2 linked regions of the Mus musculus genome follow. The protein of the gene in region 1 interacts with the protein of each later gene in a pairwise test. Links are inferred from orthologs where the notes say so. Each region holds a gene or a part of one and is shown on either strand. Other genes may lie near its edges. The genes, in order: Hspd1 and Samd3.

Region 1 (4,581 bases):
GTCAACACTTTACCCCAAAGGAGTAAGGTGGAGATGCCCCTGCTACACAGCATATAGACATGTGCAAACACGTCACACAAATACCTTTTGCCTTTCTTCAGAAACATAAAATAATTCTAAAACAATATAAAACAGTCATTTTCCTGAATGGGAGGTTCTTTGTGAATTGAAATTTGACTTGAAATTCTTCCCCCCAAAAATGCCATTGTAATTCATTTTTTTAATTACCAAAGGAATTCCCCTCCTTCCACATCACACTGGAATTCAGTACCACTCCAGGGGCACCAGTTTACCTTTCCTTTCCCTCCTGACCCCACAGCCACGACCGTTGCTTGCAACACTTTTCCTTGAGACTTTTCTGGAAGCATAATGCCACCTTTGGTTACAGTTTCGGCAGCACTCCTTTCAACCAATACTCTGTCAAAGAGCGGAAGAAACTTCCTAAAAGCTTGTCCAGCCTGTGGAGAGAAATGTGATCAAACAGAGTGTAAGTTCGAAGTGTCAGAACACGAACAGTTAAGACCACCGCAAGCCTTAACTCTCAACAGGTCAAAACTGACCTGTTCCAAAAAGGACAAGAAAATTCAAGTGTACTTTTAGAATATACTCAGTGTTCCACTCTATATAGGACAAACTGAGTTTCATTTCCCTGTCTGGTGTGTGTGTGTGTGTGGTGGTGGTGGTGGGGGGGGGTCTTCATTACTAATCAGCAATCGCCACCTTGATCTATTCCAAGGTCAAACATTTCTTTAATTTTTTTAAAAATTCGAATAACGGGGGAGTGGCGTCACTTTTCGAGCCTGGATCTTAGTCTTTCTCCAACATAGGACACATCCACTGAAGCCCTGCCAGGGCAGGTGGGCTTCTGCGTGTGCATCGGGTTCCCGCCCCCTGCCCCAGACGCTTTGTCGCACACGTGCGTGCGGCAAAGCCATGGTGGAGAGAGAAATGGCCTCGCTTCTGCAGAGCCATGGGCGGACACCGGACACTGACCAGACCCCGGACCCCTGTCCTATTAGTCCCAAAGCGCACAAGGGTTCGCCGTGGGCCGCAGGCCGAACTGGACCCGCAGGCCTGCCAACCACGAGACACTCACCATGACTCTCGCCTTCGCCGCCACCACCGCAGCTCCGGACTCTGAACTCGGGCCGCTGCTGCAAGGAGAGTCCTGCTGGCCGGCTGGGACACGTGAAAAGGCCGCGCAGCGCGCAGGCGCACTCAGCCCCCCGAGCGTGAGAGGGGGCGGCCACGCCGACGCGCGCGCCGATTGGTGGCGAGGGCTCCGCGCAAGGGGGCCGACGCGGGCGGCCGGAGGCGGAAGAAAAGGGGAGCACTTTCTAGGCTTTTCCAGGCCGGCCGCCGAGGTGAAAGAACGAGCCCCCCTCCCGGAAATGACGCCACTTGACCTTTCACCCACGGGACGCGCGGGGCCTTCCGGAAGGTTCTAGAACGGACCGTGGCCCAGGAACCAGCGTAGGGCGGCGGGAGAGGGCTGAGGCCGCAGAGCTGAGGCGGCTCTGGTACGGAGGGCGGGGCCGCGCGCGCCGCATGCAGATTGCAGGGCCCCGGCGTGGGAGAGAGCGGGGGGCGCGCGCGCGCACACGCGGGGCCGCGGGGCGGGGCGGGGAGGGAGGGGACTCGGGCTCATTGCGGTGCGCGCCCAGAGCTGGGTCCCTCACTCGCCGCAGACGGCCTGCCTCGCCTCGTGCTCTCCTGCCGCCGCCCCGCAGGTACGCGGCCTCGGCGTGCAGGGCGCCCCGGCGCTCGCGGGGGGCTGCTTGCAGCGCGGACCGAGCACGGAGGACTAGGGGGAGAAGTCTGGCAGCGACGCCGCAGGCTCGGCTCACTTGTCCAGGCCCAGCGGGGCCACGCTGGTTTCATCACGTGTGGCGGGGACCACGCGATCCAGGCCGAGCGCCGGAGCAAGGGCGGGCTAGGGTGGAAGCAACTTGGGCCCTCTGGTGCCACCTGCGCCTGGCGCACTGCAGGACTCTGTGGGAGGGTGGTCGGGGTCCTTTAGTCCCCGGTGGCCGCGGCGGTCCGGTGTTCACTTTGACCTTGCTCGGGGCTCCTGGTCGGGAAGACACGTGGGGCCGCGAGGCTGGACTGACCTACTGTCTTTTCCTCCGGCCTTGCTAGCTGCTGTGTTACCGTAGCTTCGGGTGGATACCTGGCGACACACTCAGAGGGTTTTGCACCGTCATGAGTACTTCTGTAGTTCTCTAGGCAATTGCATTTAGAACCTGCCTTGCTTGCACCAACTTGATTTTTTTCCTTTGGACACTTTTCGGAGTGGATCTGCTCCCAAGGCCGCTTTGGCAGTGAAAGATTAACTTGAGAGGGCAGAGTGGGTGGCCATGGGGATGTGGTTTTCTGTGCTTTGTGCTTATGCTGTTGGTCAGGCTTGGGGTCAGCCTCCATGATCAGTTGGCTAGCAGATTATGCCCTGAATCTGCAGCGCCCAGGCATGGTGGTTAGCAGAGGACAGCCCAGCTCCAATCTAGCCTCCCATGTTTTGAAGCACCGTTGGACAAGTTTGTAGTGATTTTTCTTTTTTCCTTCCCCAGAAATGCTTCGACTACCCACAGTCCTTCGCCAGATGAGACCAGTGTCCCGGGCACTGGCTCCTCATCTCACTCGGGCCTATGCCAAAGATGTAAAATTTGGTGCGGACGCTCGAGCCTTAATGCTTCAAGGTGTAGACCTTTTAGCAGATGCTGTAGCTGTTACAATGGGGCCAAAGGTACCAGTATACTTAAATGGTGTTAAAGAATATAGTAGCTGCAAGACAGCAATTTGTTATCAAGTTTTGTGAAAAATCTAATTTGCATGTGGTACAACTTAGTGGTCTAGAGGTGTTATTTAGTCAGGAGGTCTATTGGTCATTCTACCACCATGGTGTCCTTACTACTGCTCCAGGCGATTTGGGGGACTTTTGTACATTGTGATGTAATAGAGTAGTAATATCTCAAGGAGGATTTTCAAACTATAGTCATGATTTTGTGCATGCTTGCATTAAATTTTGGATCTCGTCCCAGTAGTTAGAGGGTATAGAGGGGAAAGTACAACTTAAGTCTAATAATACCTCAAAGTATATAGCTGTAATGTGAGAGTTCACTCATTGTGCTGAAATACTCCAACACATAAGGCAAAATGCACTAGCATAGAATCATTGGTTTCTGTGTTTTTTGTTTTGTTTTTTTAAGTAACTAAACCTTTTTTTTTCAAGATTTATTTATTATATGTAAGTACACTGTAGCTGTTTTCAGGCACACCAGAAGAGGGTGTCAGATCTCATTACGGGTGGTTGTGAGCCACCATGTGGTTGCTGGGATTTGAAGGTTGCTGGGACCTTCGGAAGAGCAGTCAGTGCTCTTACCCGCTGAGCCATCTTTACAAACTTTACTTTATGGGCTTTGTTGTTTGGGGGTTTTGTTTTTAAGACAGCATTTCTCCGGTAGCCTAGACTGTCCTGAGACTCAGAGCGATCCATCCACCAGCTTCTGCAACACATATCACCAGACTGTTTTCACTTGCCCTTGGGAGAAAACCTTTGTGGTCTTCCATTCGTCCCTTCATTGTACACCTCGTGATTGCTACAATTTTCACATTGCAAAAAAATTGTCCAGTTTTTGCTTTTGAGAGAGTCTCACTAGCTTAGTCTGAGTTCTAACTCCCTTGTGGCAAGGCTGTCCTTGAACAACTTACATCTCAAGTGTAGGAATTCAGTATTATACTCACAGGGTCTCTAACCATAGCTGGCCAAGTCAGCCTTGAACTCAGAGCAGTGCTAAGATCAGAGGTTGTGATCACACATTTGTGTGGCTGAATAGGGAGCTATAGTACTTTGAGGACACCATTGGATGTGGTGCACAGTCATTTTAAATTAATGCTAAACTGGTCTAAAGAGCTGCATAATCCCAACACTCAGGAGGCTTAGGCTGGTAGTTCTCTAAGTTTCAGGAAAGCATGGCAACAATAGAAATCCTGTCTTGAAAAACAAAACAACAAAAAAACCTGCATCTTTTTTTTTTTTCTCGTATTTTCCTCAATTACATTTCCAATGCTATCCCAAAAGTCTTCCACACATGCACCCCCCCCCCCAAAACCTGCATCTTTAAGAACTGTTTACATAGCTCAAGACAATAGAAGTTTGGTTCAAATCCAAAAGTTGCCAATACTTGTTGGTGTCATATTTGAAGTTTTTTATTGAGCGAACCAGAAAAGCACATTATCTTACTGGCTGATATTTAGTGAATGAATTTTAAAGCAAAACATGTTTTAAAAATAGTTCATAAGCAGGGCTGTAGTGGTAGTGGTGCATGCCTCTAATTCCAGCTAGCCTTTAGGAGGCAGAGGCAAGCAGATCTTTGTGTTTTGTGAGTTTGAGGACAGGAAAGGCTACACAGAAATGTCCTGTCTCAGAAAACAAAATAAACCTAGGTCATAGCCAAAACTCAAGTGCAAATGATGTGAAGAGTGTTCTGGGATTTGGCGATTAACATCTGTGCTTTCTTGTTTTATGGGTGGCATCTGTTAGTACCAGGGAATTCCTGTTGTGCTTCATTCAATGTTGGACTC
Region 2 (4,352 bases), on another chromosome or scaffold:
GGGAGGAGCTTTGTGGCTACTGTTTGTTGAAGCAAATTAAATCCACTGTTGAAATTCTAAAGGTGTTCCTCTGTATTTAACCCTTGTTTTCAGTTTTTCCAGTCAGTGTTTGTGGATACTTAGGAGTGTGTGGCCCATTACTTTGAAGTTTCTTGTTTTCTAGGAAACTGCTTTTGAAGGCTGTTATTGTCAGGTTTTCTTGAATGTTGGGTACATCTTTTTTTCTTCCTACTGGGGATTATTTTTCTGATGTTGGTAACTATAATTTAGTTAAAAACACAAAATTAAAAACTACAAAGATGTTCTCACACACACACACACACACACACACACACACACACACAAACACATCTATATTCCAATTCCACCAAGGGAACCTTCTCACTTTGTCTTTACAAAATAGCAGGTATCATACAGAAAAATGATAAATCATCTGGAATAAAAGTCAATGTTGAAAATAATGTTGAAGGGTTAAAATAATTTAAGACTGTTTTTGACTTTGTTTCTATCAATTCCTTAGAAGTCTCCTGGGTTGAATTATAAATGCAGAAAAAAAGCTTCCTCGAGGAAATTACAAATTTATGGAAGATGGTAGACTGGTCTGTTGGTGCAAAGTTAGTGGGGGTAGTTAAGAGTGATCCATGCAAAATCTGTGTTTGCTTCTTTCACTTTGACAACACTAACATCTTCAGGTATGTCCTAACTTGACCTGCACAACTAACTACATAGATATAGATATATAAAGATATATGCATACCCATGTGTATGTATCCTCATATTTCTATATCTTCATATATGTATACACATGTATATATATGCATATATACATATATATGTATAAATATGCATATGTGTGTATATTATACATATTTGTATATACATATATGTGTATATACATATATGTTATAACCGATAAAGCTATAGATAGATAGATAGATAGATAGATAGATAGATAGATAGATAGACAGACAGATAGATGTGTTACAATAGTGTTTGGTACTGTTTGAGAGCATACTCCAGTATGTAGGAGTAACATTGGAACGACAGGAGAATGGCACATGAGGCTAGTTTCCCCTGAGAAAAGAGTTTGCTGCTGGCCCAGAGCTGTGAGGACAGTGGGTCATCTCTCTCTTAGTTGGGAGAAGCAAGGGGTTAAGGCATCCTGGTTTACTTACGTCTCTCAGTCAGACTTTTATCTGATCCTTCCTCCCTTTCTCCCCTGCCCACCCCTCTGTAAATGTCAACCACTTCCTGATGATTTCACACCTTTCTGTTCTTTGTGAAGAAACCTGGGTGTTAATGGTACAGCATTGGGTACCATTGTATGTGCCGGCTGTCTGCTATTGAAGCTGACGGATGCCTGCGGAAATCAAGTAGGAGAAGGTGAAGAAATGAGACTGAGAAATAGGCTAAAATCCACCTTTAAGCAACAATTTGATTTATTAGCAACTTTTACATGTTGCATTGTAGAAACATTTTCTTTTTAAAGCCATGTATTGAAAGGAGTTTAGCAGAGGAGAGAAAGCTGACTGTTTAAAAATCTAATCAAAGACTAATAATCAGAGAGGGAGGAAGGAAGGAAGGAAGGAAGGAAGGAAGGAAGGAAGGAAGGAAGGAAGGAAGGGAGGGAGACAGGCAAGCAGGCAAGCTATCCCCACTTTTTATTCTACAGGTGTATTGACAAGAATCCAGCAATGGAAACGTGGTCAGTTGATCAGGTCTGCAAATGGTTGGTGGAAAAAAACTTAGGTGAGCTAGTCCCCAGGTTTCAAGGTAAGTTGTTTGTATACTTTGTGTGGATTTTATTTGAGCCATGCAGTCGTGCGGGTGCGCTCTGTTGTGAAAGCTGCTTTTCTTGCCTAGGGTCTGCCTGTTTGTGGATAAGGAGCTGTTCTGATGAGGAACTTCATCTCTTTCCCACAGACTGAGGCAGTTTCCAGTTTACCTAGCATCCTCTGAAGAGAGTGTTATTTCCAGATGATTGCAAACTCTTGGAAGTTACCTTTGACATAGACTTTGTGTGTTTCTTTTGTCTTACATAATCACTCGTGTTCTATACAGTATGGGATGTGCCAGTGTTAAATAGCAAGTAGGAGGTATTATAAAAATAGCTTCCCCGAAAGACTTCTATTTCTGTTGACTGTAAAAATTGGCCTGGAAAAGGGGTATTAATATGCAAACAAACAAACGCAGTTTTTATTGGGACTTGCGGTCTGGTGATTTCTTAGCAGCAGGCTTCAGTTTGGAACTATGCTGTATTAGAGCCCTGACAGATAATGCAGTGACTGCCATCTCAAGCTTAGATAATCGTTTTAAAACCAGAACTAGTTTTATCTTCTTTCTGTGCCCATGTTTTCCTGGAAAGTGATATGAAAGTTAATTTTCTTTTTTCCCAGAGGAAGAAGTCAGTGGGGCCACACTCCTGGCCCTTAATGATCGGATGGTACAGCAACTGGTAAAGAAAATTGGACACCAGGCTGTTCTGATGGACTTCATTAAGAAATACAAGCAGGGCAATCAAGAGCTGAAGCCTACGGGAGGCCCCGCAGATACATCCACGCTGACCCCGGCACAAGCGGCCCCTGAGTGAGTACACCAGAGAACGGGCTAGGTTTTTGGTCCCTGTTTATGCACGGCTATTGCCTTGTGTCAAAGAATCAAAGCTTTTAAAACTGTGGACAAATTTCAGTTAGATGGTATGCACAGGACTTCTAATATTTGACCAGCATGTATGAAGAATTGAGTCAGAATTTGTTGTTTTTCTTTCCACTATTCTTTAAAAACCGACAGTGGCTGTTAAGGCAATCCTGCAGGCACGAAGTTCCTATGCTACGTGATCTGGAGCCCACAGTAGAACGAATGCGTTAGGTGTAGAAACTGCATGTATGATGTAACTGGGCTACTACAAGGACCTGTGGCTGGTCCTTTGCCATGTCCCAAACTATTTGTTCATTTGTGTGTTTATTTGCATAGGTCTCCCTGTGGTAACTAATTCATACTTTTCTCAAAGGCCTTTCACAATAGCAATTGCTAACACCTTTGTCACAACTGAGTTTCATACTTCTTTGAAAACTGATCATAAAGTAAAGACCACTGTGACAGAAACACCGAGACATCATTCAGAACATTCACAGTGTCACAAAGAAGCTCTCAAGTTGGAGGGTGGCTATGTTTGTTAGTTTGCTTTTAATCTCTTAACTCCGGAATGGAAAGGAATGGTAACGAGCTTCATCAATTAAAATGTTTTACAAATCCATGCATCAAGATTCTTTCAGGCACTCTGATTTACTATTTCCACACCTGAGACTGGTCATAACTTTTAAGGTTAAATATTTGCTATTAACCAATCACCATTCTTTTTTTTTTCTTTTTGTAAAATGTGATATTGAATGGTATCATTTTATTTTTTTTCCTTTTCTGAAATTAGGCCTATAAGTATAAGTATTTCTTTCTTTTTTGATAAACAATATAACATCAGAGAGACTTGGCTTAAGTAATTTAATTTCTACTTGGTGTACTTGGATTATTTGGTAGCCATGAAGGGCTAAAGATGTGGATGGGGTTAGCTTGTAACCCCAGCAGTTAAAAGGTCGAGGCAGAAGGATTGCTATGAGGTTGAAGCTGGTCTAAGGTACAGAGATAAATGTTGTCTTTAAAAAATAATAACAATAGTTACAAAGGAAGTCAAAGCGGAAATTCTTCCAAGTGATTTATTTGAAGGAGTTCTTTCTTTATGACCCTGGTTGAAGCAGGGTATTGGGTCTGTGACATTTGTGTGAAGTTCTCACTGTAACCTTTTAATGCTCTCTAGAGAAAGGGAGGGGTGAGCTTCAAAGGGACTGCAGTGTCACTTCCAAGAACATTTGGGTGAGCTGGAAGTCCCTCCCCAGTTGACTGGAATCTTGATCTTGCCTTGGGCATAGCTCAGAAAAAAAAACCAAAACAAAATCAAAAATAAAAAAAAAAAAAAAACCCTGGCAGGCCATCAATCCACTTCTCTGCTCTGTAGCACACTAGAAGTTGTTGGACTGCCAAGAGCTAGGACTTCATTCTTGGTTTTATTGGCTGACTTAGATTCATTCTGTTCAATGTTTGGAAGTTTTGTTTCTTCATCTGCGTATCAAGAAAGCCTCTGAACTCTGAACTGCTTGAATTCACATCATGAAACACCACAATCTTGGGGCGAATCTGCCCTCCCTTTAACAGACCAACACAGTCCTCTGTCAATTATGCAATTTTTTAAAACAAGGTTATGACAAGTAGTTTCAACTGTAGCCAAGACTAGGCATTCTGGTAGCCCAGAGATTTGTGAATGTTAGGTTCCTTGCTCTAGCTAGCACGTTCGACTTTAA

The links.
Region 2: the proteins of Hspd1 (region 1) and Samd3 interact in binary tests that used the Homo sapiens proteins (3 or more experiments, as listed by UniProt). The two-hybrid records come from large-scale screens. The link is inferred for Mus musculus from reciprocal best matches to the Homo sapiens genes HSPD1 and SAMD3.

The regions. Positions count from the first base shown.
Region 1 is NC_000067.6:55,084,928-55,089,508, reverse strand, and holds the start of Hspd1 (60 kDa heat shock protein, mitochondrial), read left to right. Parts: upstream 1-1,576; 5' UTR 1,577-1,730; intron 1,731-2,567; 5' UTR 2,568-2,569; coding exon 2,570-2,743; intron 2,744-4,581. Other genes in the region: Hspe1 (10 kDa heat shock protein, mitochondrial), read right to left, coding at 294-458, 1,097-1,099. UniProt on the Homo sapiens protein: Chaperonin implicated in mitochondrial protein import and macromolecular assembly. Together with Hsp10, facilitates the correct folding of imported proteins.
Region 2 is NC_000076.6:26,228,432-26,232,783, forward strand, and holds the start of Samd3 (sterile alpha motif domain-containing protein 3), read left to right. Parts: upstream 1-1,275; 5' UTR 1,276-1,324; coding exon of another isoform or gene 1,325-1,383; intron 1,384-1,672; coding exon of another isoform or gene 1,673-1,694; coding exon 1,695-1,773; intron 1,774-1,786; exon of another isoform or gene 1,787-2,018; intron 2,019-2,049; exon of another isoform or gene 2,050-2,096; intron 2,097-2,396; coding exon 2,397-2,586; intron 2,587-4,352.